Drosophila melanogaster: one gene and its partner. Changing the gene in region 1 together with any one later gene gives a genetic interaction. Each region holds a gene or a part of one and is shown on either strand. Other genes may lie near its edges. The genes, in order: cmet and Ndc80.

Region 1 (15,607 bases):
TGATATCTGCCTCCTTGGACTTGAAAGTCTCCAGCTTTTCTGCAATTTCACACCTCTCCAACTCCTTTTGAGTGGTTAGTGTAATCATTTCCGCTTCGATTTCCTCAAGTTTTTTTATGGTATTCGAGTGCTGTCCGTTGATTTTCTGGATCTCCGATAGCAGTTCTGCTTTCTCGCCCCTCAACAGCTCCAAATCCTGAACATATTGATCGCACTTCTTTTGCAGGTCATCGATGTTCTCGTTCGACGAGCCTGGCAGCAAATCCGAACTTTTCTGGTCGGCAGTGCATTGCAGTTGTTCTAGCTCCAACATGCTTTTGTCGTACAGCTTCTTAAGTTGGCATTTTTCCATTTTCACTCCCTCGAGTTCCACTTCCCGATCAGAATTCGTTTTATGCAGCTCTGCTATTGTGTTTCGCATCACCTCAAGCCTAGAAATTTCCTTATCGCGCTCCTCCTCCGCTTGCCTTAGTTTCTCCTTGTAAGAAGATTCCTTCTCCTTCAGCGTTTCCCTGATTTTTTCAAGCTCTGCCTTGTGTCGGACAGCCAATTCGTTTCTTTCCTTCTCGGCCTGAGTAATCTTTTCTTGAAGAGATCTTTTAATGACATCCAAATGCACCTGACACTGAGTCGTAACACTGGCGAGCTTTTCATTGGTCTGCTGTAGCTGCTCTTCGTAGCGTTTCTGGGTTTCCTTTAAATCCAGGCAGTATGCACGGAATTTGGAGCGGTTTTCATTCTCGCTCGTCTCAATTTTCGCCATGTACTCAAGCTGAAGGCTTTTGTTCTCATCTGTCTTTCGCTTCTCCAGAATACTTAATTCCTCTTGTGCCCTTTGTAATGATTCTTCAAGTTGCTCGATTCGGCGTTCATATTCGGTGGTAAGAGTTCGTTCAGTTTGTTCCTGGATAGGCTTCTCAACATTTAGAGATTCTTCAGCTGTGGTACTATGGTGCTGCAGTTCGACACCGCTTTCTTGAAGCTGATCTAGAGGGCGCAACTCCTCCGCCTGCCAATTTACAATGTCTGCTAGCTTCAGTTCCATGGATAAGCAACACTCGCTTATTTCTCCAATATCCGACTGCAGTTCGGATATTTTTTCGTCCTCTGACTGCTTTTCAAGTTTTTTCTGCAGTTCACACACCTTGGACTTCAGATGTGCAAGGGATGTCTTGAGAGTAAGGACTTCCTGAGATTCCTGCTTGTTAGCGGTCTGTACGGTATCTTTAGTCTGCAACTCCTCGCACAATATTTTTGTCTTGGCATTTTGATTTTTTATAGTTTCGATTTGATTCAGGCTGGTAATTTGTGCACGCAAATTGTTAATAACTTCTTTCTCTTCCTCAATTAGATTCTTTTTCCCGTCAACTTCTTGTTTCAGTTGGAAAATGATATCACGCATTCGGTCTTCCTCTTTCACCAAATTCTGTTCCTGATTTATTTTGACAATCTGAAATCTTTGGCATTTCAGAAAGCCTTTAAGGAATACGGAGTCGGATGCATCATGTTGTTTACCATCACCCTCTAAATACTTAGCAGGCTCAAGGCAAAGTTTTAGGCTTGGCACGCTTTGATCCTGTTCGGCATGGTTATATATAAAGAGGCGCCTGCCACCGGAGTAGTCGGTGAGCTCAATCTGTTGGATGGACTTCGACAGCTTGGTGAACTGTTGCAGCAGATCAGTGTCCAATTCGTTTTCCGGATCACTGCACTCAGTGCCTACACCCGAACTCTTCATGGATTCCAAATCGGAGTTCGTTGTTCGTTGCTTGTGCTCCTCTCGGAGTGCATCGCACTCTTGAATAGTACTCATCAATTCGTTGGATAGACATTCGTAATTCAGTTGGATCTCGTCAAACTCCCACTGCAACTTGGAGAGGCGCTTCTTCAGCTCTTGATTTTGTAGCTCCATATCTTCTGGATGAGTATCCGGATTGGGAACTTCTAATAGCTCACTATGGATCTCCTCCACTCGCTCCTTGAGAGTTCCAATCTCGGCTTGCAGTTTAGAATTTTCATCCTGCAGCTGCTGACACTGTTCATCCGATCTGAGTTCCAGATGCCTATACTCGTCCTGCAGCTGTAGGTACTTTTGCTGTATAGTATTGTAGTCAACCTGCATGGTATCAATGGCCAGCTTTTGACTAGACCACTTATGCTTCAGGTTGTTGTACTTTTCCTGCAATTGTCCAAAGTCATCATGCGCTGTGGATATCTGTTCGGAGAGCCGTTTGCAATCAGTGGTCTTTTGTGATACCTCACAGCTTGCATGGCTGAAAGTAGACAGCATACTTTCCAACTTCATACGGGTGGCAGCAATCTCCGATCGCAACTGATCAAACTGGCAGGCGACTGAGTCCAGTCCTGAGGCACTCGCTAGGGGCAGTAGCCGTTCCAACTCCAGGCACTTGTTGCAGATCCGCTCGCAGCTGGACTCAAGCTCGGGGCACATGGATCGCATTTGATCCTCCTTGCTGTTTCGCAACACATCCCGAGATAGCTCCTCAAGGGACTGTTGCAGACTTACTATGGTCGAATCTTTTTCGGAGATGGAGGAGAGAAGTTCTTCCTCCATTTGCTTCGACTTGGCCTTGTGTGTTTCGAATTGCTCCCCTAGATTGACTGCCTTGCCGTTCTCCATCTCCAGCCGCTCAATTGTCTCCTTTAGCCTCTTCACCTGCTCCTCGTACTTCTCGATCGTCTCCTTTGCTACCTGGTTGGATGCAGTAAGCGCAGAGATCTCGGTCTGCGGGGCATCGCAGCTGTAATTGATAGGAAAATTGAGGGATTTGAATGAATACGTAAATTCAGGAACTCCATAAATATACTTTAACTCTATTTATATTTCCAGTGCGCGCATGGCTACGAAAAGCTATTTACTCTGCCTAGCTAAATGGGTGCTGTCTGAGGGAATCCGGCGTTCACAAAAAACCACTAAAAATAGAAGCAGCTGGCGGCATTCAAGTTGAAGTTGCACCAGGCGAGATGTGTGGGTTACGCGAACATGGTCAAAGAAATAGAAGCGTTTTTAAAGATTCAAATCTAAACACCTTTCACAAATTGTTTATTTTCGCAAACGAAACAGAAGTGCAACTGCACTGTGCTATTATTTTGAGCGCAGATCTTTTACCCAAGTCACTCACTCACTCACTCACTTTTTCGGTTTCGGTTAGCCAATCTATATGCGTTACATCACAGTCTATAACGTTGGTGGATCGACAGTAGGGCCGACGTCATCGATCACCCAAGACGATCGGGGGAGGAGCGCGAGAGCGATGGGCGGAGGAAAAGCGTGCTGACTGACGGACAGCGGCAAATACAATGAGCATTGCGGAATTCCAGCGATCAAATTATCAAGAAGTTGGCCAGTTAACTACCTTGTCGATCGGCTGACTGCCTTATCGCGCTTCCAGGGCCACAAAGCGATCGTAGCTGGGGCGTCACATCGCATCCAGCCGAGTCTATTCGCAAAACTGGCTCACAACAGGCGTCGCCTCGCCTCTTTCCGCTCCCGGATTCTCCCCCAGAAATCTTTCCTTCTCGACGGCTATTTGCGTTGGCGTTTGTTTTGTTTTCGATTTCTTCGCGATCGGACTCCCAGTTGAGACAGCTTGCCCTCTTCGCTGCGACTGCTGCGAGAAAGCAAGAAGAGCGAGCGAAGACCGCACGAGAAGACAGCCGAGTAGAAGAGCACGCCGCACTCGTCTCCACCTCGTTTTTAGTTCAGGTGTCAGGTGAGTGCGCGCAAGAGGTGAGTTGGTATGTTCAAAATGCGCAAAATTGCTTACTTAAAGTACTTTTCAAAACGATATAGTCGCGTAGAATACTATGTAGTTTCGTTTGTTTAACTCATTTGAATCTTTTTATAACTCTAGATCTAAAAGTAAAATAAATAATTCATAAATTTACTTACTTCGGCACCGACTCCTGATACTTTTTTGACATCATTACTGAAGGAATTCTGCTAGCTGTCTCTCTTCCCAACTGTTTCGCCCGGCCAGGCATAGTGTCCATATTATCCGTTTGTAACCTTTTCTCCTTTAGGGTTTTACAAATGCCTTTGGCTTTGGGAGCAATCCCCCGCCGCTGAAACAAGGGTTTCGGCAGGTTAGTCAGCTTCGAAGGACGCGGTAGACGGGACTCCTCTGGCTCAGGCAATGCGAGAACAGGAGCGTCGCCTTCTGAGCCTGAGGCGGTTAAAGTCCAAGTACGACGACGCTTCTGGAGGCGATAGTCGTCAAGCGAGGCGCTGGAAACGATCTTCAACATGTCGCGCTTGATGCGACCTTCCAATTCCTGCAATACCAGCTGGCTCTCATTCTTGATCTTCTTCTTAGCAAGCTTATCCTTCAACATACTGATCCCGCGATCAAGTTGCCTCATCATCGTGGTTTCAGAGTCTATCTTGCAGACCTGCGGCTTGCAACGAATTTTTTTGGCACACGTGCCGAAGCTTATAGTGGATGACGACTCCTCCACGAACGATGGCGTAATTGTACAGATGATAGAGGTCAAAACATTTCCACCCAGCGAAGGCAGCATGATGCGCGGAAGTTTCGAATCGCGAAAGCTATTCGGCTTGCTATCTACACTCTCGGAGAGGCTCTTAACCAAGTTGCGAAAAATCATAAGGCTGGATGCGTGGTCCGCGGGGTCCACCTGTTCGGATCCAGCCAGATCCACCAGGCTCAGTACGCTCTGCTTTACGGTGTCGTTATCACTGTGGTCCGACTTTCGGGACTCAATGATCTGTAGAAATAATCTTGCATATTATATGATTAATACAAGAATCTAGCACTCACTATCCTGAAGATGGCGTGCGAACGACTGGACCGCTCGTTCATGTTGGTCTCGCCCACGACGCGCTCCTTGTTGCCCATGTAGAGCTGGCGCAGGAGGTCGTCCTCGCTGGTTACGATGGACTCCTTGCAGTTCACATTCACAATCCCATTGCCGGACTCATGGATCTTGAGGTCCTGATTCTTCTTGTTCAGCAGATCGTAGATCTTCTCGTTGTAGATCTCGATGTAGCCCACGCGCAGCAGAAAGTCCCGCTCCGTCTCACTGGAGATCTGTTGAAAGATCTCCTTGGCGGCTAGCACCATGACGCCCGGATTCTGTTCGTCGCCCATCATGGTGTACGTCTTGCCTGAAATGCATGCCCGGTTTTAGGTATACCGCCGCGTATATATAGCACAGTACCCACCCGACGACGTCTGGCCGTAGGCAAAAATAGTTCCGTTGGAGCCCTGCATGCAGGCGTGCACTATGTGCTTGGCCATCCGGTCGAACACCTCCTGGTTGCTGGCGCCCTCGTCGAACACATAGTCTGCCAAACGGAATGGAATGTAAATGAGATAAAGGTCTTGTAGATCAGGATACGCTCAACGCTCTAACCACTCACCGAAGACATAGGGCTCCGCATGGCTGTCCGCCAACTGGATGGAGCGGCCCTCCTTCACCTGCCAGAGTGAAGTGAGCCCGGGCTCGCAGGGACGCACCTTGATGCAGACCTGGATGGAGCTGGCGTTCTTCGTAGACATCTTTGCGACTTGTGGGAAACGTGTTTGACATGCACAATGAACAGACACAAACAGATTTTAACGTTTTATAAAAGCTAGTTTGATCGACATGTTAGTTTCTCTTTGTAAATTCGAACAAATACCGCTTCGGAAGCGAACCAGATCGAAATACGGAACCAGTAAATAGGCGCGAGCCAGTTCAATTTAAAAGTTTGAGGAGCTTTCGGCGAATATGAAAATATAATCCAATAGGCTTCGAACATAAAACTTTTTCCGAGCTTTTTCGTGATATATAATATAGATTATTATTATCTATATTTCCAAAATAGTAAAGACCGCTAAATTAAATGCTTACTTACAGACAGACAAAAGCTGAGGGGATTGTTTAATGCATACAGAAGAATACTGTCTGATATAAACATGAGATTTCATTGGAATAATAATCCCAGTTGTTCACTATTAAAAAAAATAGGAAAATTGAAAATTTGGAAAATATTATAGTGGTTATATTAGGGAGCTTAGTTATAATTTATTTCAAATATTTGTTTTGGAATCAAATACTTTCCACATTATATGTGTGCTATGAATAGAAGTTATGAATTAGTAGAAAAAATACGAACTTATATGAAATTTAAACCGTAGTTTTCGCATGTATTTAAGAGCTTGTTCTATTTTCTGTTTGACCTTAAAGTATTGAGTCATAGAACTTTGTTAGTTAGCATGCCCTACCAATAAGAACACAACGTCTTAGAATATATATATGCCGTAGCGACCCTTGATCAGGAATGTTAATGCAGCCCTGTGGGATAAGAACATAATGTGTTTCTGTTTTTATTTTTGCAGCCCTATTTGGAACTATGATAACAATCGATGAACCGATTTATCTATCGAGTCGTTAGCGCCACTCGAAGATATCGAAGCATATACATCCCTGATTTTGCAAAGCGGCATTTGTTCGAATTTAACGAGCAACAAAGATGTCGATCAATGTTTGTTTACTGTAAAACATTGAATTTTATGTTTGTTTATGAACTGCGTTCTGTTTATCATAAAGCATTGAGACCAAGAAGGCGCCAAGATGTCTGCGAAGAACGCCAGCTCCATCCAGGTCTGCATCAAGGTGCGTCCCTGCGAGCCCGGGCTCACTTCACTCTGGCAGGTGAAGGAGCGCCGCTCCATCCACTTGGCGGACAGCCATGCGGAGCCCTATGTCTTCGGTGAGTGGTTAGAGCGTTGAGCGTATCCTGATCCACAAGACCTTTATCTCATTTACATTCCATTCCGTTTGGCAGACTATGTGTTCGACGAGGGCGCCAGCAACCAGGAGGTGTTCGACCGGATGGCCAAGCACATAGTGCACGCCTGCATGCAGGGCTTCAACGGAACTATTTTTGCCTACGGCCAGACGTCGTCGGGTGGGTACTGTGCTATATATACGCGGCGGTATACCTAAAACCGGGCATGCATTTCAGGCAAGACGTACACCATGATGGGCGACGAACAGAATCCGGGCGTCATGGTGCTAGCCGCCAAGGAGATCTTTCAACAGATCTCCAGTGAGACGGAGCGGGACTTTCTGCTGCGCGTGGGCTACATCGAGATCTACAACGAGAAGATCTACGATCTGCTGAACAAGAAGAATCAGGACCTCAAGATCCATGAGTCCGGAAATGGGATTGTGAATGTGAACTGCGAGGAGTGCATCATAACCAGCGAGGTTGACCTCCTGCGCCTGCTATGCTTGGGCAATAAGGAGCGCACCGTGGGCGAGACGAACATGAACGAGCGGTCCAGCCGTTCGCATGCCATATTTAAGATAGTAAGTGCAGCCTGCTATTTTCTTTCCGATAATCTGCAACATGTATCCCACAGATCATCGAGTCCCGAAAGTCGGACCACAGCGATGACGACGCAGTGATTCAAAGCGTGTTGAACCTGGTGGATCTGGCTGGGTCAGAGCGGGCGGACCAAACGGGTGCTCGAGGAGCGCGCCTCAAAGAGGGCGGTCATATAAACAAGAGCTTACTTTTTCTCAGTAACGTTATCAAAAGTCTGTCGGAAAACGCGGACAATAGATTTACCAACTACCGCGATTCCAAGCTGACGCGCATTCTGCAGGCTTCTTTGGGCGGCAATGCATTCACATCCATCATTTGCACAATCAAACCATCGATCATGGAAGAGTCGCAGTCTACCCTTAGTTTCGCCACGCGAGCCAAGAAAATTCGCATTAAGCCCCAAGTCAACGAGATGGTATCTGACGCCACAATGATGAAGCGGCTGGAGCGAGAAATAAAGGTGCTTAAGGATAAGCTGGCCGAAGAAGAGCGCAAAAACGAGAACCAGCAAAAGGTAGAGCATCTGGAGAGACAAATAAAACACGACATGCACAAGATAATCTGTGGTCACTCCCTGAGCGACAAGGGTCAGCAGAAGCGTCGCCGTACTTGGTGTCCCACTGCATCGGGATCGCATTTGGAGCTAGCAGAGACCGGCACAACTGAAGATCGAATTGACCAATTTCCAAAGGTCTCACACCTTCCAAAACCAGTGTTTTTTCACACTTCAAATGCAGGCAAACGATGGGACAACATTCCAAAGACCATAAACATTTTGGGTTCCCTGGATATCGGTACCGAGAGCAACTCCATTAGTGAGGAATTTCTCCCGGCAGAATGCATTGATTTTGGCTCCCCTCGCCCAGATGTCCTCAAACCCATGTTGACCATCAGGCAACTGCCAGACCTGCCCCTCACTCCCAAGGGTCCCTTAACGTAAGTACTTCTGCAAGCTTTTTGATCATCCTCCATAACATTCATCACATAACAATCGCATCCACATACCCCGACCCGATCCCTGCACTTATTTGCCTGCACAGAACGGATAAAATCAAGAAGGAAATCCAGGACCTGCAAATGTTCACCAGCTTAGAGAAGCATTTTGAGGTGGAGTGCGAAGAGGTGCAGGGTTTAAAAGAAAAGCTGGCCGAGGTTACAGCACAGCGGGATAATTTAGAGCAAGAATCGTTAGCCGAAAAGGAGCGGTGAGTTAATGAGGTGTTTTCTGTCAAGGAATCTGTCGTCCAAAACATAGTGCCTGCATCGTAAAAAACGATGTAAACGTAACTCGACTTTTGTGCTTTAAGCAGTCAACCCAAAATCTAACATACCTATTCATACAAATCTGTAAAACTAGTGCAGCGATATTCTATTCCATTCTATAAAAACAAAACACTTAAGTATATGTTTCAGTTTTTAACAGTAAATTTTGTTTATAGAACACCACTCCACAATACCTGTTTGTTTGATTTATTTTATTATAGTTTTAGTGTTTAACAATAGTTTACTACTTGTGTATCTTCTTATAGTTATGATGCTCTGGAAAAGGAAGTAACCAGCCTAAGAGCGGATAATGAGGCTGCGAATTCAAAAATCAGCGAATTGGAAGAGAAACTGAGTACTCTAAAGCAGACTATGAGAATAATGGAAGTGGAAAATCAGGTGGCCGTGGGCCTCGAGTTTGAGTTTGAGGCTCACAAGAAATCATCGAAACTTCGCGTGGATGACTTACTCTCTGCCCTTTTAGAAAAGGAGTCGACTATAGAGAGTCTTCAAAAGTCCCTCGACAATTTAACCCGCGATGTCTTACGGAACAGCAAGGAGGGCCACATGCTTTCCATTGCCCCAGAGCAGGAAGACATCGCCGGCGACAGTATATGCAACAAGTGTGAGGAACTGGAGAAGCTGATTGCAGATTTAGAGTCCAAGAAAAATTCATGCGAGTGTGATCAGCTCCGGTTGGAAATCGTCTCTGTTCGCGACAAGTTAGAGAGCGTTGAATCTGCCTTTAACCTGGCAAGCTCGGAGATTATCCAAAAGGCGACTGATTGCGAGCGACTTTCGAAAGAGCTATCCACATCCCAGAATGCCTTTGGACAACTTCAGGAAAGGTACGACGCTCTGGACCAACAGTGGCAAGCTCAACAAGCGGGCATCACAACCCTACATGAAAAGCACGAGCACGTGCAGGAGAAATACCAGAAATTGCAGGAGGAGTATGAGCAGTTAGAAAGCAGGGCAAGAAGTGCCTCCAGCGCTGAGTTTCAACGGCTTCAAAATGACAACACGAAGTTTCAAGCCGATATCGCATCCCTCAATGAACGATTGGAGGAGGCCCAAAACATGCTTACGGAAGTCCAAAACTCTGAATCTACTGTGGAAAAGCTTCGAATACAAAATCACGAACTTACAGCGAAAATCAAAGAACTGGAGACGAACTTTGAAGAGATGCAGCGGGAATACGATTGCCTTTCCAATCAACTGATGGAGAGTGTCCAGGAGAACGATGCCCTGCGAGAGGAGATAAAGCAACGACCCACGAGTCACGTTGAGGAGTCTATGAGGAGTTCCGGTATAAGCTCCGATTTTGACGAACAGAAGCAGGATATAAACCTTCTACACCAGTTTGTTCAGCTTTCTGAGTCCGTCCAACAGATAGAGCTGCAGCATCATTCCGGCATCAGTCGCCTCTTTAGAGCCAACCAAATGAAACTGGATCAGAGCGAGCCAGGACTTAAGCTTTGCCTTGAGTCTGCTGAGTACATCGAGGAAGACAATCGTCAATCCGATGCAACTGAACCTATTTGTCTCAAAGGCTTTCTCAAGCGACACAGATTTCAGATAAAGCGACTTAGCCAGGAACATGTAGATATGGGAGAGGAGAAGCGATTGCTTGATATTATTTCGCAGCTGGAACAGGAAATCGAAGAGAAGAGTGCACTTATGGAGGCAACAGAGGCAACCATCAATGAAATGCGAGAGCAGATGACTAACCTAGAGTCGGCACTCCTCGAAAAGAGCGTTATAATTAACAAGGTTGAGGACTACCAGCGGCAGATCGAGTCCCTGGAAAAACAAAATGCGGAGATGACAATGGTATACGAGGAGCTGCAGGATAGAGTAACAAGGGAGAGCTCGATGAGCGAGAGTCTGCTCCGAGTTCCACCTGACGAGGATACCCTTCCAGGATGCCCTACATCTCCCAGTAGACGAGAACAGGAGGTGGCCACGCTAAAGACATCCATAACAGAATTGCAGTCACAAGTTTCTGATCTAAAAGCAGAACTTGAAAACCATTTAAGGCAGATCCAGTTGAAAGACGGGAACATAGCGAGACTACAGACGGATTTTGAGGAAATGAGTGAGCGCTGCTTATCGATGGAGGTGAGGCTAGCCGAGTTGGATGAGGACACTAAGCAAAAACAAGAACTACTGGATCGTCAGGCGCAGAAGCTCTCCGATGACCTATGCCTTATCGATCAGCTTCAAAAGAAAAACGCGCAGCTCGTTGAACAGTATCATAAAGCGACAGAATCTCTCAGTCTTGCGGATGCAAAGCCGGATCAGATACTACTTTCCTCCCAATATGATAGTCAGATCGAGAAACTTAATCAATTGCTAAATGCAGCCAAAGATGAGCTACACGATGTGCGAAGGATAAAAGATGATGAGATAAGTGCTTTGCGAATGGAGTTCCTGCTCCAAATTGAAACGAATGAGAAAGAGAACCAAGCCAAGTTCTACGCTGAATTGCAGGAGACTAAGGATCGCTATGAGAGCAATGTGGCCGAGTTAAAGGAGAAGCTATTGCAGGTAGAGGAGACACTCTCCAGCGTTACGGTTCGTTGTCAGGCGGAGTTGGAAGCGCTTAAATCTGCTCATAAAGAAAATATTTCTCAGGCTGTGGAGGAAAGAAACAATTTGATTGTCCAGCACCAGGCAGAAATGGAGACTATCAGGGAAACTCTTAAGAATAAGCTAGCTGAGGCTAGCACCCAACAATCAAAAATGGAAGATGCCTTTAGAGCGGAAATAAACGAGGTGAGAGCCACCCTAATGGAGCAATTGAATCAAACGAAAGAAGATCGCGATAAGGGAGCCTCGAAGCTTGAGGAGGTCAAAAAGACACTGGAGCAGATGATAAATGGAGGACGTGTCATGTCAGACACCATTGCTGAGTTGGAGAAAACAAAAGCTGAGCAGGACTTGGCAGTCAATAAATTAACAAAGGACAACATCGAATTAGAGAAGCAGTGCAGTAAGACGCAGGAGCAGTTGCAAATGGAATCGCTTACTCGAGATCAAATCAGTTTCGAAATAGAAGCACATATTAAAAAGCTGGAATTGATTGTGGCCTCTTCAAAGAAAAGGATTATTGAGCTCGAGGAAAAGTGTGACCAGCAGGTTCTGGAATTGGATAAATGTAGGCTCGAGAAGTTGTCCCTGGAATCAGAGATTCAAAAAGCGAATTCAGAGCATTCGTGCACCATGGAAAAACTTCAGGAACTCCAAGCTGAAATGAAAGTTCTAAGCAACCGGAATGAGAAGGAAAAGTGTGATTTCGAAACTAAGCTCGAGACATTTACTTTCAAGATAACCGATCTCGAAGAAGTCCTGAAGGAGGCACAACATAAAGTCATTCTCTATGACGATTTGGTATCGCAGCACGAACGCCTAAAAATCTGTCTTGCCGAGGCAAATGAACTATCATCAAACTTGCAAAAGAAAGTGATGAGCCTGCACACGGAATTGATTGATTCCCAAAAGGGAATATCGAGTCGAGATGTGGAAATTAATGAGCTACGCGAAGAACTGAAGGCCGCTATGGATGCCAAGGCAACCGCGAGTGCCGAACAAATGACTCTGGTAACGCAGCTCAAAGATGTCGAGGAGCGGATGGCAAACCAGGCAGAAAAGTTCACACGTGAGGCGGCTAATCTAAAAGGGTCTATAAACGAGCTCCTCTTGAAGCTCAATTCCATGCAAGAAACTAAAGATATGCTAGAGTCCGGAAATGAAGAACTCAAAGAACAGCTGAGAAATTCCCAAAATCTGCGGAACATGCTGGATGAGGAGAGTAAGATGTGTATCTCCCTAAAAGAAAAATTAGTCAAACTGGAAGATGCAAAAACTAGCCTTGAACAGCAGTTGCGAGACAATAAATCAGAAATATATCAAAGGCACACGGAGCTTACCAAGGAGGTGGAGCTGGGCCGCAACAGAATTGGAGAACTCACAAAGAAGTGTGAGGAGCTGTGCTCTGATCTGGTAAGCTTTTTTCTTAGCGTTATAATTATATGAAATTGTTTTTTTAAACACGAAAATGATCCTAAAGGAAAACTCAGACCAGATACGACTCGATCTGCAAGAAACTAAAGAGCAGTTGAAGAAAACGTTGGAAAATAACCTTGGATGGCAACAGAAGGTTGACGAAGTGACAAGAGAGTGCGAAAAGCTACGATTTGATATGGTAATAGAGGAGCTCACACGATCATTCACAGAAAATTATTCATTGATTTCTTTTAGCAATCCAAAGAGGTGCAAAATGAAAGTAAGGTTCAGGAATTGATAAGCGAGTGCGAAGAGCTCCGGTCAACTCTGGTAAGTGTGATATCCTGTTGCTAGATTTTTAAATGATTTCAAAAAATGATTTTTAGAAATCCAAGGAAGCCAGTTTTCAGTCTGAGAAAGAAAGCATGGACAGAACAATCTCAAGTCTTTTAGAAGACAAACGCAACCTCGAGGAAAAGTTGTGCTCGGCTAACGATATTGTGGCTAAGCTTGAGACGGAAATAGCCGCGTTGCGGCCAAGAAAAAGTCTAGATCGGAACCCAGTGCCGAGGGTAAAACAATGTTTAAACGCCTCTAGCCATAATAGATCTCTAAATGTATTATAATTTTCGCAGAAATCGATTACCTTTGAATCCGAAATACGGAAGAATCGACGAATCAGCGTCCACGATGAGCGACGGCAGTCTTACTGGAACGACGTTCGGGAATTTGGCATCATGACAGATCCCGTTGGTATGAGTAGTTGCAGTGTATTTCCTCTGGTTTTCCCACTCAATGAATTCAATTTCAGACAACAACTGCAACTGTGCGGAGCTGAATTCCAAGCTTCAGGACTGCCAGCGTGAGCTTTTCATTCGTGAAAGTCAAGTGACGGCACTAAAGATGGAGCTGGACCATCATCCGCTGAAGGATGAGAATGCGCAACTAACGAAGCGAGTTATTGAGGAGCAAGACAAGGCAAAGGTTGAGCAGAAACGGCTTAAAATGAAACTTCAAGATCTTAATGCTAGGATTAATGACCTCACTACGGCATCAGCCAAGGAACCAGAATCTAACCAAATGGCACAAGCAGCTAAACCTGCTACCGTAGCCGCTCAAACTCAGACGGAATCCGATCTTGAGACAATCCTTGAGAAAACGAACGTAAAGTATCAGGAAGCGGTTCGCATGTTGCGCTACCGTTACCATCTCATCCAGGAACTGAAAGAGAAACTTAGGCAAAACGAAAACAGTGATACCTCGAATATTACCTCACTCTCAGCTGGACAAACCAGTGCATTGAAGGTTGCTATTTCGAATCGTTACTCAAGTAGTTCTTATATAAAATATTGTTTTTGCAGGCACAGTGTGAGTCCCAAAAGAAGGAAATTTTGGCAATCAAATATAAGTATGAAGCCGCCAAGCGAATTTTGGCGATTCGAAATGATGATTTGGATGCTCTGCGGGAAAAACTCGCGAAATATGAAACAACTACATCAGATAAATAAGTCACTAGGTATTATATTTGTGTACATATGTGTATGTGTTTGGGCTTAGGTTAATTTTGGGTGTCATCAATATGAGTTCATACAGAGTTCCGAGCTATTAGAAATATTGCATTTAATGTGTTGTACTTAAACGTCTCATCCTTGTTAGGTATATATTTTAATTAAATTGTATTCAATATTACCAATTATTAAATGGATCCGCATATTTTGAGTAAAACACACATTGTCTTCATAACGCGGCTTTATTGTAATGTCAATAAATATTTATATAACTTTCTAAGCACATGAATGTCTACTTATATTGCTTATGTAACGACTTTAACTAATATATTTTATTCTAACGTCTTAACCAAATCGCATTAGCCATAAATGCATTTCAAGCCTAAAAATGCAATCTATTGCACTCCGCTTGCGCCAAAATTTGGGCGAGAGTGAGAGGAAAAAGTGTCTAGAACCAAATAAAACTTTAAACCGGGTAATAAAAACTAAAGATACTCTCGTGTTCTTAATTTTTTTTTATTTATATCTCGCTATGCTGTTAGGTGGCTCTTAAGTAAGATTTTTAAAAACACGCATGCCAGTGAAATAAGTTACATATTACAGAGTGCAGTTAAGGACTTACAAATAAATATCCAAGTAAAATACATTTAAATTAATTGAGGTAGAAAATTACTAAATTAACACATATGTTGGTCATAAGGCAAGTTGTATCGACTCTTGTAGAGTCTATGCTCATCTCCGATTGAAGCTAACCATAAACCTAGAATAACTGAGGCATATTCCAACTAAATACATACATTCAGGAAACAAGTAGTTACATCTATCTATGTCTTGCTTGCAGTGCTGCCACATAAACTAACTAGCCTAGTTTAAGTATAAGTATATGCTTATGATTCGCACTGGATATCATTAAGGGGGTTCCACCTTCGAGTGCTGACGACCGAATGCTGAGTATGCTGAGGTATTCAATTCTCTGACAAATAAGTACAGGCATTCATATGTTTTGTATATTTAAGTGTAAATACGTATACCGAGCGTGCACTGTATACCGTATGTTAGTTGTATAAACATTAAATTTCTTGTTTGCTGATCCCCTCGCGATAGGATTCTAAGTCTAAGAGCAGATATCTGCTGCTGAAAATTGGCAAGTTTCATGAAGATGGAGTGCAGGACCAGTCACAACTCATGGAAGTCTGAGGTTCGTTTCGGGGATTCAGCTCTTTCGCTGGCTGAGGTAGTTCGGTTGAGTTGTTCGGATTTGTCCGCAAGTGTTCCTGAGATATGGTAAGCACTGGTATAGACTGGCTAGACTTGGAACTGGAAGGCTGTGGCATGCATGGCACATCTGAATTATCTGCTGGCGTCTGGTACAATACTAATTACGACGGATCGTTTGGGGGCTGCTGTTGGCCTAACATATTCAAGTTTTTCTTTTAATGTATTTACAGGCATCTCTTTCAATGTGAAA
Region 2 (15,685 bases), on another chromosome or scaffold:
GGATTATACTCCATCTAAGCATAGGCATTCAAGGGCATAAGCCCCACCACTTACCTCCGTAAACATGATCGGCATTCGCCCACTTGGCTGCCGATAGGGTGGCGCGGGCAAAGAACTCGTCCCGATTGGAGGCCAGGATGAGCTTGTAGCCACCCGGTTGCGGATTCGAGTCCGCACAAAAGAATATCACGCACATCGTCGGAATCCTATACTTATTTGGCTATTGTTGCGATTTGTAGTGCCTTGAGGTTGTGGGACAACTGCGAATGGGATCCGGAAAAGTGGGCTTTAATCTCGGTGGGGCGTCGGTATCAAAATGGCAGGTTGTTCGGCTCAGTCTTCTCTTTGTTACTTTGTGGCAGTGGAACTATAGCGCCGGTTTTATCACCAAATAGCCGTACGTACGTACAGCTGATATACAGTCTTATCCGTTGTTTGCGAGACCAGCTAATCTAAGTGGTAAATGTAAATGGTTTGGATTGGTGGGTGTTCTCTGTGAGCCGTGCCTCTATGTGATATATACATATCTACGGGGCAAAAAGCATTCCCGTTAACGCAAACAAAGCAGTATTTTCTGAAATTTCAATGACCGGGTTGCCTTGTTTTGATTTCTCTTTTAATTTTGTTTTTGTTTTGTTTTGGCGTTGCCAGCTGACAGGAGAATCGATAAGAAAATCGTTAACACTCTGCTGCCCTGTGCAATATTCTTTTAGCTATTTTATTAATTGCTAATTATTTATTTGTGCAGTCTATGACTTATCTTAATTTGTACTTTTAAATTTGAAGATTTTAGTTCCTCATCGTGCGCTGAAACAATGATTGACCAATATGATTGTGTAATTTATTTCCAAAGCCATATATAACGTATATATAAACATATTAGTTTTTTTTGTCGCCTGTGCCGATCCAGATAACAAACTACTATTTTGAAATTGGCGTAACAGGTAGGTAGGCATTATCGCCAGTTGCCCATCTCTATTGTATGACCGTGGGCCCGGCAATCGATTGGCTTACAACTTATCGATGTTTGAAAACTAACCAAAAACCCTGTAACATAGGCTTGTAATTAAAACTAGAAAATACCATTACATAGCTATGCACTGCAATGCATAAATTAACTAACAGACCTATACAGGCCCTTAAATTGGTAAGAAAACTGATCGCTAAAATTAAAGCGAAAGAGTGGATTTTTTAGGACAAAAATACCGGTCGGTCGAGAACATTTGGGGGGAAAATCATGTCGCCATCTGGTAACACTGGCATTCAGCAGAGCAGTGAAAACGACGTTAATATTTCTGATCAATTAAACAATTGGAAAATCCGGCCGCAGATCGCGATCTAAACGTATCGCCCTCGCCACGCCCACTGCCGCCCACGCCCCCTGGCGCGGGGTCACATCGATAGAGAGCTTTGCGTGTGTGTGTGTGTGCGTGCGTGTATGTGTCGGTCGAGAGGAGAGGTGGAAGACGAAGAAGAATAAAAAAAACAGGCAGCGAAAAGCGATAAGAAACGGAACACAACACACTGGAAAAAAATTGCGATAAGAAACGGGGCGGAGCGGAGCGGAAATTGCCAAGACTCTGGGATGGATTAGCGGCACAGCCGGACTCTGAGGTTAGCCAACAGTGGGATTAGGACCAGGAACAGCCATGTCCTCCGCCGTTAACATCCAGATCGTCTCTATGCCGAATCTGGCCAAGATCGAGAGCTTCCTGAAGGATGTCAGCTACCGGGAGACGATCGAGTACAGTGCCAACTTCAACACGCGCCTGTGCAGCGAACGGCGCCACCGGCTGCCCTTCCTCGATCCGCAGACAGGCGTCGCCCAGAACCACTCGCAGCTCTTCCTGGACAAGCGACAGCGGATGCCCGGCTTCCGGCAGGGCCAGATCTACACGTATCCGGCGGCCCGCTGGCGGAAGAGCCGTCGTCAGTACTTGAGCAAGATGTACAGGTGAGGAATCGTAACCAATCGGTGCGGGATTTGAGTGACTGGCACATGCACAAGGAAAAGTTAGGTATAACTCTGGCGAAGCAAATTAGAGCTTGGAAATCTAGGAGTCTGTTACCTATGGTAATCTTATTTAAAACGAGTTAGGTTAGAAGAATATCATCTGTGTATATGCCATTCAATCTCATCAAATCCTACATTTTTCGTTGGGTGAGCTCCATATTTATCCCTGCTAATAACGAACTTTCCACTTATACAGCCGCTTTCCCGAGCGTCCCTTCCAGGCGCTACGCAAGGAGCACGAAGCTCTGGTGGCCAGCGGCGTCAATCTGGGACTGAGCAGCCTGACCAGCGGTGTGGGCTCCATGCCCGGCAGCAATAGCCTGGCCAGCAGCTCCTCCCTAACGCTCAATATGCTTACGGGCGGCGGAGCCGCGCCGGCCGTACTTGGTTCCCTGCACAGTGACACTGCCCACGATTTTAATGGAGCCTTCAGCCTGGAGGAGTCCAGCTCGCTGGGTGCCGCCGGCGGTGATACATCCGACAGCAAGGACAGTCAACAGCAACAACATCAGCAGCACCAGCACCAGCAGCAGGCCGTCAAAGAGGAGCTTTTGCCCAAGGAGTGGTTCTACGATGACATGGATATGAACGATGTGGACTCGCTGGAGGAGCCCAAATCGCCGGCGGATGATGAGTACGATTATGATCCGCGCTATGGTAACAAAAAAAGGCGCAAGCGGCGACCAGGCAAGCGAGGTGGAGATTCCGGCGGCGGTGGTGGTGGAGGAGGCGCCGGCGGTGGCGGCAATTCCGGCGGTAGCTCCAGCTCGCGGAGACGCAGTGCAGCGGCCAGGTCGCGTATCACAACGACGGATGCGGCGCTGGACGCATCGCTGGAGGCCATTGAATCTGGCGAGAGTGTGCCAGGCAGCAATGGAGGACCAATCTCCAGCGGAGGCATCCTAAGCGGCAGCCTGGGAGCAGGCTTAGCGGGAGTTTCGGGATCCGGCGGCGGAGGAGGAGCATCGGGAGCTTCGGCCAACAGCCGCAGATCGCGGGGAGCGGGAACACGTGGCAGGCGACGAGCCAAGGGGCCAAATAGCGCCGTTGGAGCGTCTTGCGATCCGACAAGTCCCGGCATGGTCATCGAGCCACCATCCTTCGAGAGTGCCGCTGCTGCGGTGGGCGTGGTCGAGGACGCGAACGCCCATCTGCGCAACTATCGGAAGTATCTGTAACCGCTCTATCAGCAACTAACTGGACGTGTAATCAATCAAAGCCTTGTTTTTCGCAATGTTTTCTCGCCTATTGAATCGACCTACTTTTTCGCACATAATTTAAATATAGTTTTTAAGCCTTAGTTGATCACTGTTTGTTGCCCCCCTCCGACAAAAGGATAAAAGCCAAGCAAGAAATGAAAGAAAGGAAACAAATACATTGTGGACCAGGGACAGAAACAGGATTAGAATCAGGATAACGATCAGAACCGCGCACCAGGCCGTAGCCAATACAATTCCAATGTTTCGCCTCTCTTAACTTTACGTTCCCATAGCCAATTGATTGTTGTTTTTTAAACTAGCAATGGACTGGTGAACTTCTACTATAGGATAACTTGAGCGGAAACTTATGGATGTAGCAAATATTCTTCGAGCAATTTTGTAATGTAGGAAACCCTTTAGGCCATCAATTATTAACGTTGTATAAGTTAGACAATGAATTTAAAAAGAACCTTTTTCGTCATCGTTAGGCAATTCGTAATCAATTATTTTCGGGCATCATCTATGCCATAAGTGAAACAGCACAATTTGAACTATGTATAGTTTTGCAATACACGACTATATTTCACATCTGGTTTCCGAAGTTTTGCTTAGAGCAGTTCGCCAGACCATTGCATTATATTGTACATTATATATATGGGTGTACAGACATTATATACATATATATATATATACATACTTGCATGCATTGTATTTGCGACTCTACTTAAGGCAAGTCCACCTTTTGGACTGGCTCTCCACCTAATCGCAATCTCTCGGTTTCTGTTGCTGCATGTTCTTAATACTATTTCACCTAGCTCCCCACCCCTCCCCACATATTATATTCAATTTTTTTTATTTAACCAAAATTTTAGTTAAAAAAGAGACAATTCAGATTGTAATCTATTTAGGCAAGTGGTAGGGTATCTCTAGCATTAGAAGAAGCTAAAAGTAAAAACAATTTCGTAAAACCAAAATTTTTTCTCTAGGATCATAATTATTAAGCTGAGCTAAAAACGAAAACAAATTTTAACTAACTAAGAAGGGACAAAATTGAAATAAGATCAAAAAAGGAAAACATGTACATTTTGGAAGAAAAATCAAAGTCCACAAAATTTTAACGAATGAGAGGCAAAAAATCAGACAAAAATGAACCACAAGAGAATGAAAAAAAAAAACAAAAATGGAAATAGGTTTCTAAGATGTTTTAATATATTTTGTAATAACAATGCTCGAGTATTTTTCATGTATGTAGTTTTTGATCCAAAATTGAGCGATCAACAAAGGCAAAGGGGTTCTCAACGATCGGTTCCTCGAGAGGATTTGCCAATCATCGATCATAGGGCTCTATTGCTGAACGCTTTGTTTTGGGCACAACTACCTCCTCCGCTTGGCACCGGCAGTAGCCTCGTCTGTGGAGGATCTGGTGGTCCGCTTCCGTTTCTGGCTGCTAGGGGGCTTATCTTCGGCAACTTCTTCTTGGGATTCGGATGCCTTTGCCTGCTTCTTTTGGGCTTTCGGTTGTCTCTTCGTTTTGACCAACTCTTTGGATTGCTTCGCTTCCTTTGAATCGACTTGAGTTGGCTCTTCCTCGGATTTCTGTTCCTTTTTGGATTTACGCGAAGTTGAAGTTGAAGTTGGTGCCTTCGTTTTTGATAAAAACAATATTTAGTTAATTTTTTCTGGACTTATTGGGCCTTCCCTACCTCGTTTTCCTGTGCTTCCTCTGTGGACTCCGACTTCTTTGGCGATGCTAGAGCCTCGGACCCCGGTAAATCAATTTTAGATAACTTCTGCGTGTTGATCTGTTCCTTGGACTCCTGCTGGTCACCTAGAATCCCTACAATCCGATCGTATACCTCCTCCACAGTGGGAAACTTGCGAGCACGTGGTGGACCCCGCTTTAGACCCGACCAAAGTGCCACCTGCTCCTGCTTTCCCATTCCGCCGGCGCTCAAACTTAACTCGAAGGCTCCTCGCCGTGGTGCTCCAAGTGCATTCAGCTGGAGCTGAAGCTGTTGGAGACCACGCTCCCGGAGAGCGGAGTGCAGCTCCTCCGCTCGACGACGAAAGACTCGTCAGGATCGGCAGTGCTCTACGTAGAGCACCGGCGCATTGGGATCCAGCTCTTCGCCTGCATCCCGCTCAGCGATTGGCGCCTGTAGAATCGTTTGGAAATGCATTTAGCTATTGAAATAATGTAGTATTTCAATCGTACCTCTGCTTTTTTGTTCCGTTTTGGTGGCATGATCCTAAAGTAATCAGAATTTTTAAGTAAATGGCGCACTTTTTATTTGGCAGTGCTGCCAGATGGTTTAGTAACACTAGGGTGTCAATCGCGACTGCATCCCTGGAAACTATCGATTTGCCGATAACAGGCGTTAAACGACGCGCGATTCCCAATCAAACTGAGTAAACATTTAATTTAATCAACGTAGTTTCAATAACGCCAAGATGTCGCACCTGATGCCCCGGCGGACCAGCGAGTTCCGTGGCGATGTACTGGAGGAGCGAGGCACTGCCGATAAGCGGCAAACCAGGTGAGCATCGAAATCCAACTGATCAAATCTTGTCAACGATGCAAATGCGTATCCTTTTCCAGGGCAACAAAGCGGAGCGCAGCCACGCACACTCCGTCCTCCAGCCAGGCGGCACCCAGAAGGTATGCACAACCATTTGATTATCGAAGGCACAACCAGTAATGTTTGAATCCAATCCGCATAGGCCGTCCGCATCGCGTCTGCCGCAGCCGCTGAACTTGGAGCGCGATCGGGCCAGTCAAATGGGCGTGACGCCCAAGCGAGGCCACCGGTTTGTGCCCTCCACTGCGGAGCGCGCCATTGCGCCACACTCCGACAAGAAATGGGTGGCGGAGAGGGCACAGCAGATCCTGGAATACCTACATGGCATTCAGAACAGCGAGGCGCCCACTGGACTTATTGCGGATCTATTCAGTCGGCCCGGGGGTTTGCGACACATGACCATCAAGCAATTTGTTTCCATTCTCAACTTTATGTTCCACCACATCTGGCGAAATCGCGTGACAGTGGGCCAGAACCATGTCGAGGATATTACCAGCGCAATGCAAAAGCTACAGTATCCTTATCAGGTAAGCAACTCGGATGCTCTTAGGTTTCCAGTGTTCGTTTAATTCTTAAATCCACTTGTGACTTGCAGGTGAACAAATCATGGCTTGTATCGCCAACAACACAGCATTCATTCGGCCATGTGATCGTTCTGCTGGACTTTCTCATGGACTTTTTACCGCCTCTGCCCTCGTCGGATGTGGTGGAGGAGGAGTTTCCGTTTATGGAAACCATGGAGCAGCCCAGCTCGTATCTGAATAGCATGCACTGCGAGTCGACGACCATCATGTCCACCACACAGGCGCACGCCATTCAGCTAGATGAAGACGTCAATGGTCTGCTCTTCGAAGAGGCTAGCAAATGCATTGCCTTGTGGGATCAGGAGCTTACCAATGAGGAGGCCAAGCTGCAGGCGGAGACCAGGGATCAGGTGATCAGCAAGAAGTGTGATTTGCCCGATCGCAAAGCCTTAGACCAGCTAATCGGCGATCTGAAGACGAAACTACAGCAACTGGAGAATAAGTTGCATGATCCCAGTGAAGACAATAAACTGAACAAACTGGAACGTCTTACCAAAGAGCACGATCAGCTTGCCCAACAGCTAGCTGCCAGTGAAGAGGAGCTGATCAAGAAACTGAAGTTATACGAACAGCTGTCTGCCCAGGTAGAAGAAAAACAGTCTAATCTCCGCCAGCAAATGAAGTATGAAAAGCGTCTGGAGCAGGCGGTTAACAGGCAGAAGTTCTCCGCCCAGCAGCTAAAGGAGCTTCAAATGAAGTGCGACGATATGGAAAACTACTCCAAGGCTTATGAGCGCCAGGTGAAGGAGGTGTCCGAGCTGGAGCTGCATCAGCAGGTGATGCTGTCGCGCGCCAAGCAAAAGCAACTGGATTCCGTTGAGGTCTTTAACTCGCACGTGCGCCACCTGAGCATGGACCCGGTGATTTGTGGCCTGATAAAGAGCGGCATTGGCCAGCAATCGGACCTTACTCTGCCACTAAATCCCAATCAAGAGGACATCTCGGAGAGGGTGCAGTGCCTGGAGTTGCTGGGCAAACTTCTGCAACAGCACCGCCAGCAGAATATCGATCGGCGTCAGATGTTGGACAAGCAGGTGGCCAAGGTAAAGTCTGATTCCATCGAGTTAGACACCGAAATCGCCACCATGGACTCTCAGTTGCGGGCGCAGAAACAGCGTCTGACCAAAATGGAGGCCAGTTATCGGACCAAGCGCGACATGCAGGCGCAGCACAGGCAACAGCTGCTCGAGGATCAGTACGACCAGACCGCCCGTCTGGATGAGTTGGAGAAGAGGGAGAAGCAGGCGCTGGAAAAGCTGGAAGCCAGCAAGCAACGGAACGAGGATCTACTCACCGCTGCTGAGCAGTTTCAGGAGCAGGATCTCAAGGCCCGCCAAGATCGCCTGGAAAAATGCGAGCAGAAGCTGGCCAAAGCGGAGGACCAGCTGCTCGCCGTGGAATCAAAGGTCAACGCGACTCAGGCCAAGCTGAACGAGGTGGAGCAAAAGGTGTACTCCGCCAAGCTGCCATCCTTTCAGCCCGTGCTAGATGCCATCAAGAATCATTGATTTGATCCGGATGTTTTGTTGTAGTCCAGTTGATCTGTAAGGAATTTATTAAAGAGTATTCTTTGTTTTCAAATTAAAAAAGACAATGAAGCTGTCTGCAATGTTCAATGTTTTATGTTTTATGAAATGCATTTATTTTTGATTACATTTGAATTAGGTAAATTGAGTTGAACACAGCGGTTCCTGGACAAAGGAGGGGATGATACTCCATAATATCAGATTTCTTAAGTTCTTTATTGCCACACGTATTACGGATTTCATTACGGATCTCCGCTGCCTTTTTTGGGATTACAAATTGCACTTGGAACGGTTTAGCTTTACATGGTTATACATATGTATACACTGAGTGGTGGGTAAATACGGCAAGGGTAACTTAAGCGTAGGTATCTATAAATATTAAATAATATTATCATTTGGCCAATTTTGTGTAGTTTAGCGTGCGATTGACTTGTGCCACAAAAAAGTTGCAGGGAAACGTTTGCATTTATTGCTATTAAATTAATTAATTTGGATATTTCATTTGTGTGCGCTTTTTTCGTATTCGTAGATATATATTTTGTCATTTTTGGGCTTAAAATAAACGAAAATGAGGTATTATTTCAATTAGTAGTGATGTATCTCATAGTATATTGTCGCTCGATCATAAATCCTAGGTTTCTGTGTACCACAAGTCAACCAACTACAGAATATGTATGGGTATACAAAAAAATAGGGGGGAAGTTCGAGTAGTAGTTATAAATTCAACATTGAGACTGAGACAATATGTTGTGTAATAAATAAATATCATTTAGCTTAGTTCAATTCTATACAATGACCCCGATAGTGCTAACGTCCTCAGACAATGAAGACATCGCCACTGCTGCGCTCCACGGCCGAGGTGGCCACATCGCCGCCACATCCTGGCCGACCGGCTTGGCTTGCAGCCGCAATCTTGGGCTCCTCCGATTGCGCAGTTTTGTCCAACAGCTCCGCCTCGCGTCCAATCTCGACGATGCCTTGCGGCTTGTCGCAGCTGACGCTCTGTGACTCGTGCGACTCGTGTGCCTCTTCCTGGCCAGCCAGGTGGATGCTGACTCCCGCCACGTCAAGGTCTTCGACGTCCTTATGATTCTGGAATGTAACTGAGATCTCTTGGGCTGCAGCTCCTTCGCTTACATCCCCTTCCTGCCCATTCGAGCTGCTGGTCGCAGGCCCTGCATTTGTTGCATTGGGCGGGGCCGTCGTGATGGATGACCACCAGCTGGAGAAGGCGCCCTTGGCCTGGGATATGGCACCGCCCACTGCACGACTCGTCGTGTTTACCGCCTGGTTGATTTTTCGCCCACTCTCGCTATTTTGCATGGTTCTGCAAATTTCAAGTGTTTAGAAACTTAGTTCCCCTTCGGTATGGATTTCAGGATTTTAACCGCTTACTGTGCTAGTTTTAGTTTCATGTCCGCCACGGACAAGGTGCCGGCGAAGGGATGACCAGCGGGCAGGGCCTCAAAGAACTCGGGTTCGGGCCTAACGTCGTACCATTCCTGAAAGCATTGGGTGCGCTTGAAGGCGCCCATGAAGTGCGCATTGAAATGATCGTTGTCCTTTGGCGTGGCATCTGTAAACAAACAAATTTACATTTACATTTGATGGTTCAACTAAAAGCTAACAAAGATTGCACACACCTGGAGCCACAGCAGTTCGCAAGAGTGCGAGAATATAGCCCTGAAACTGCTCCCGTATCCAGTACTCGCTGCCCTCGGCATCCTCCTTTGGCGATTGCACATGCTTCATGATGTAGTCCATGTAGCGCAGATCCTCGGTGCTCAGCACCAGCTGACGCCTGAGCTCCGGATCGTGGGCATCCAGATTGGCCGCCTCGATGTCCACCAGGACGTCAGCCAGCTGACGTTTCTGCTGGAAAAGCACGTTGGAGGTGCCGATGACATAGGAGAGCACCATGGGATCGCTGAGCAGGTCCATGTACGGTAGCGACAGATACGGCAGGCAGAGGTTGCCGCTGGCGAAGATGCTGACCGGTGCCCGATACTCATCCGGATTGACAGCGCACAAGGCGGCGAGGTTGGCTATGGACGAAACATTTACACGGATCAGTTAACTGCGTCATACGTAATATTTAATGTCTGCACGCTCCTATCTCCTATCTAGAATGATTCACTTATATGGCATGATATGTATAAGAATAAACGCAATAACAAAGGTTACAATTGACTAAAATGTGCCTAAATCTGCTAGTTACGCCAAACACGGGGATAGACTTCTTGGGCTACTCACACGCTAGTGTGTCCACGCTGGCCTCTCTGGTCAGCGAGCTGTTCCTGCCGTTCGATGAGTCCTGCGACTGTGAGTTGGGCGTGGAACGCGTCGACGTGTCATCGCCACTGACCTGCTCCTCGCCCGCCGACGCTGCGGATGAGACGAGGGCCAGCTCTTCGGCCTCGCCCTCCACCGCTGTGGCGCTCTCGGGCGTCAGTTTCTGCTCATCGGTGGCAGCTGCTACGGAAGCCACTGCCTCCAGTTCCGCTTCGGCTTCGGCCTGCGCCTCCCGCTGCAGGGAGTCAGTGAAATCCGGCATGGGCGACAGGGGACGCGACGTGCGCACACAGGCCACCTCCTGGAAGCCCTTCTCCAGCAGCCGCGGCACCAGCGATGCCATGCCCAGGATCAGCACACACATTTGGCGTACGGGCGAACCGAAACACACCACTCGTCGCTGCAGCAGCATTAGTTTGAAGAGCATTAGCGTCTTGTGGCGCCAGTGGAGTACGATCTCGCGCAGCGACAGCCCCACGTGAAAGTGGCGCAACGGGCGGCGCGACTCGTCGTCCTGGAGGCAGGCATTTAGCTGCTGATAGGCCTTGGCCAGCAGTTCCGTGCCGGAGAAGTCGCCCTGATCGAAAAAGGCATCGGCAATGAGGGCTAGCTTCACCTCGATGTACCCGTAGATGGGCAGGCGGGCCAATATGCAAACGGACTTCTGAACGGTGCTGCGCGTGAGGTCCGCTGTCCGGATCTTTAGCTTCTCCACGCGTATCTGGCGATAGCAGGACACGCCGTAGATACTCTCAGCCGGCTCATACAAACTGGGCAGGTTGAAGAACACCGTGTCCTCGGCAAAGTTATGCGAGCCGTCGGGCAGAGCCAGAGTGGGCAGGTACTTCCAGCCGGAGGGGCATTCGTTGCGTCCCGTGGAGCCCGAGATTAGCGGCGGATGCGAGAACTCCACCTGGCAGCCCAGCTTGTGGTGGAAGCCCACCACGAGGATGTGCAGGATCGGTGGCTTGTTCTCCGGCTCGCTGGCCATCGTTGGTCGTTATCCTTGTACCAAGGAGCAAGCGGTGTCCACAAAAAATGCGTTTTTTGCCTGCAAAATGAATATCCAATTGGATTGGCCACTACCACATCGGCCCTCTCGCTCGCACTCGTGTAACCACGCCACGCAATTGTTGTTCTATTCGGACCACGGCGCACTTATTTTGTGTTGCAATTATCTATCTGTCGTATTTAACTTTCTTTCTTTACGATTTCCAAGCGATTTTGTTTTTATTCTATTTTCTTGTTTGTGATAGCGTATCGATATCAGGAGGCGTTATTTTGTACTCCAATTAGATGTGCATTTGCCGGTTATCGATATGTTTCGCTTCGACCAACGGCATTATCGACTACACCAGTACGAAAATTGGCGGTTACTTTTGAATTTGAAATAACCATTGAAGAATTAGAATCACGCTAATATGAACGAAAATAAAACTTCACAGTGTAATTTGTTTTTGTATCTCATTAATCTTTATTAAGAAACAATACAAGAAATATATTTACTTTAAATACAAGATAAAATACTATTCAGAAAAAAAGGATAATTAAATTTTTTGATTTTAATGAGTGAAGTTACAAGTTTCACGAGATCAGAATTAATGCATGGTAAAAAAATGTATTTACTTTTATACAAAAATACCCGTAAGCATCATCCAACTTACCAAAATCGAAACTATCATTACGAGTATGTTGAAATAGTTGTAACATTTTGGTTTTAGTCGCGATTTTGTTGGCTTGACTACTGATACACATTTCCAAGTGTCAACAAGCCGAAAATTAAGTCAAAAACAAATTCTGAAAATAAACGTGTAATACTATACATATAGTAGACGGAGCATTAGGTACTATATAGCCAGACTGTGTATGATGGCTCTGTTCTTAAACGTTTTTATATTTTCTGCTGTTTTCATCTTGGGGTTTCTTCTATGTGTCTTTTTTCTTATGGATTTTTCCGTTGTTTCCTTTTCCCCAATTTTTTTTTGCTTTTTTTAATTGGTCTGTTTTCATTTCATTTAATTTAGTTAGAGCGTATTTTTAAATCGAACATCCAACATATAGATTCTAAAATTGGCACACATCGCTTGTTTGTTCTTTACAAAATATGTTTGCTTGACCTGATCTTATTCATTGAAAAGTTTATGAATTATATATTTTAACTTTAAACTGGAAAGTGCATTGATTTAATGTGTTAAATACATTTAAGTTTATAATAGGAAGCTCTTACTATTCTGGTCACTAAAATCTAAAATTGAAAAGAACATATTTCAGAATTTTAACTGTTTTCTTGCATCATACACAGTAGAAAAAAAATGCAAGTGACACAGCCAACAATAGCTTATTATTTAAGATTGCACCGATTGCAATCAATTCAAATTATTCGACACTTTGGATACGCTGTTCATTCATATAATCCCAGGGCCATCGTTCTTGTCTGAAATCAAATATTTTTCCAGATCTTGGATAATGTTTATGTTATTCCTGATCTATGCAGATATTAGCCACAGTTCCCCGTAAACATCGCCCCAGAAAGCTAACCTATAGATAGACATATAGAAGATATTTAAACAAATACATATACATACTTTAATATATATATATATATATATATATTTTTTATATCGGGCATCTTCGTGCATACGATCGGCACTAAAAACCGAAGGCTACAGACGAATAGCGCCCACACAAAACGTCCAAAAATAGAACAACAAAAATTCGAAACTGTGCTATTTGTTATTCCCTGATTTTCGAATATTCTGACTTGCCTTTCTAACATTCTGATATTCGGACATTCAGAAGATGATGCGAATTGAAATTTACTTGAATACGGCATACGGCATACCCGACTTTCCACCCACTTTCACGCCCACATATGTATATATCTGCACATGTCCGTACTTCTGGTCTACGGATCACTGAGCTATTTGGCCCGATGTTTGCAATAGGTTCGTAGTTGTTTATTGAACGGAGGATGTTATGTGAATCCAGCCAGATGGCAGGCAAAAATTGGAAGCAGCTAAAAAAGCGCTTACAGATGTCGTTTATATCTGGACAGAACACGCCCGTACCATTTCATGCACTAAATCCCAGATAACTCGAACTGCCCACCTGTGTCCCATTGCGATTCTGTAGTTTTGTGGTTTTTGGCAAGCCATGCATAATACCTAGACCCATACATATCACATACACATACATATCTAATTATCTATGCATACATATCTATCTATCTGCGTATCTGGTGTGTGCATTTTGCATTTCGCAGAGGTGCAGATACAAAAATGTTCTAAATTTAAGATACTTGGTAACCAAAAACGAAATCAAAACAAATGCCGAAACTTTGCGACTATATAGTAATTTTACTATTGGAGAATATTGTAATATATATAATTTTAAAATAATATTCATCGCATGTTTTTAATTTACACAGAAGTCTATTTATTTGAACAACTTGTTTATGCAAGGAATTAAGAGAAGTCTTAAATTAATTTTTCTATAATCATATATAATGTAATGTAATCATAATATAATGTAATGTAATCATATATAATGTAATCATGTATGTATAAAAATTTTTACCCAGATTTTGAGGAACTTTGAGATAGCCCAAATATTTTTTTTTGCAGTATTAATAATTTAAGAAGATACAAGTGCAAGCGAAAAACTAAAAATTTTTTTTTTTTTTTATATTCTTCTAGAATTTATATCTAATTTTATGAAAAATTTGGCAAAAAAAAAAACAACGGAAATCGATGTTGATGAAAGTACATTTTTAAAATATTGTAAGTTTTTGCTTTATTTTAATTTTATTAATACTAGAATACAGAAACAAAATTAAATACAGAACAAAATATGTTTCACTACCCTTACTTAATACAAATATTTCTTATGTGTTATGATGTTTATTAAACGATATGAAAAAATTAATTTTTTTGGCAAAATTTACATATAGGAAAAAGAGATTTTGTCAAATTCTTCAAATTGATTTTGTATGCTTCGAAAAAATAACCCAATAAAGAATGAATTAAATTCGATAGCTTAAAGTGCTGCAAGGCGCGTAAGTGTATCTGAAACTATTTGCCAAAAGTATCTGTTAGAAAGTAAAATAAAAAAAATAGCATAGAAAAAGGAGAGAAATAAAAAAAGAAAATCGGAACAATGACGAATAGATTCAAGTGTTAGACAAATGGCAATGCGATGGGGCCACCTAAGGCCGTTCGACGTCAGCAGTTCGATCGCGATATAGATATAGGTAAATAAATATATATATATATATATATATATATAGGGGGTGATCGGTGATCGCGGCGGACTGGGTTGGAGATTTTGTAGGGCGTGCACTCTGGGGTTCAAATGCTGCAACGATCCGCTGAGGAATCCAAACTATATGTGCTATATATCGGCACGAACATCTGTACGTATATATTATAGAGCAATATATGCAGGCCGACTTTTTAATGGCTGTGAAATTTATGCTCTACGATATTTGATTCCAAAAACAAATGTGTAAAATGCCGCCAACGCACCGAACGTCCGTATGCGCTATATACTTATTGTATGATCTAGTTATGTGCGTGCGCCATTATGGTCTAATGTATAGTATATACTAATATCGTATGCCTCATCTCGCTCTGGCCAAAATGGAAAATTGGAAAACTCGACGGCGGCTGTGTGCGTGTACAAGTTTATGTTTCAGCTGCAGCCCACCTGAAAAATTCACCCAAAACACATCGAACACAGCCAACACAGGCAGGCGCACCCACCACCACCCACTTGTTGCCACATCGGCCAGCGATATGTGGCATATAGCGCTGGCCTGCTCGCACACATGGCCAGCTATTGGCTATATAGAAAGGCGATCGGTGTGTGCGTGGAAATGGCTTTTCCGCGAACGCGACGAAAAATTCTTTAACATAACGTGTAGCAGCGCTTTTCATCGTCAGTTTGGTTAGTCGAACCGCAGCATTCGCTCCTACGACGTCAGCTGCTCGGACTTCAATTCAATTTGTTTTTCTCCCTAAGTAAGTTTTTTTTTTTCTGTTTCTGCTCTACTGCTGCTTCACATCTCCTTCAAATGCTGCATCACCAAAAAAATAAAAAGAAAATATAAAATAAACTTGTGTGCCTAAAAACGAAAAGAAAGTTATCGAAAACGAGAAAACCGAATCCTTTGCGAATAAACCACGAACCACGAACATCAACAAAAGAAAGTTACGAATTGGAAAATCCTAGTGTTATATAACATTTTATTTTTTTTTTTGAAATTTTTTTAAAGTGCAATCTACGAACAAATAGTGCGAATAAATGACTTGAAAGCCACCAAAAAAACGAACTCTGAAGCCAACTTTTTCAAAAAATTTTTTTTTTTTAAACTTTTTTTTTTTATTATGGCTAAAGGCTAAAAATAATTTGAAAAAATTCGCCCAGGCATTGGCGGCGCCAAAAACAATATTCAACGGCAACTACAACAACAGGATTAGCCGCAGCAGCAACA

What was found.
Region 2: of cmet (region 1) and Ndc80, changing one enhances a phenotype caused by changing the other (phenotypic enhancement), as found in Drosophila melanogaster (one study listed by BioGRID).

What each region holds. Positions count from the first base shown.
Region 1 is NT_033779.5:11,259,840-11,275,446, reverse strand, and holds cmet (CENP-meta), read left to right. Parts: upstream 1-6,444; 5' UTR 6,445-6,600; coding exon 6,601-6,739; intron 6,740-6,814; coding exon 6,815-6,937; intron 6,938-6,994; coding exon 6,995-7,341; intron 7,342-7,394; coding exon 7,395-8,296; intron 8,297-8,400; coding exon 8,401-8,565; intron 8,566-8,889; coding exon 8,890-12,628; intron 12,629-12,695; coding exon 12,696-12,830; intron 12,831-12,886; coding exon 12,887-12,961; intron 12,962-13,017; coding exon 13,018-13,203; intron 13,204-13,266; coding exon 13,267-13,384; intron 13,385-13,442; coding exon 13,443-13,936; intron 13,937-13,992; coding exon 13,993-14,139; 3' UTR 14,140-14,421; downstream 14,422-15,607. Other genes in the region: cana (CENP-ana), read right to left, coding at 1-2,762, 3,914-4,749, 4,803-5,149, 5,207-5,329, 5,405-5,543.
Region 2 is NC_004354.4:13,601,945-13,617,629, reverse strand, and holds Ndc80 (Ndc80), read left to right. Parts: upstream 1-5,567; 5' UTR 5,568-5,664; coding exon 5,665-5,750; intron 5,751-5,812; coding exon 5,813-5,872; intron 5,873-5,934; coding exon 5,935-6,319; intron 6,320-6,387; coding exon 6,388-7,884; 3' UTR 7,885-7,959; downstream 7,960-15,685. Other genes in the region: Tango2 (transport and golgi organization 2), read right to left, coding at 55-196; tth (toothrin), read left to right, coding at 1,650-1,954, 2,211-3,192; CG11178 (uncharacterized protein), read right to left, coding at 8,719-9,229, 9,298-9,478, 9,546-9,947, 10,156-11,185.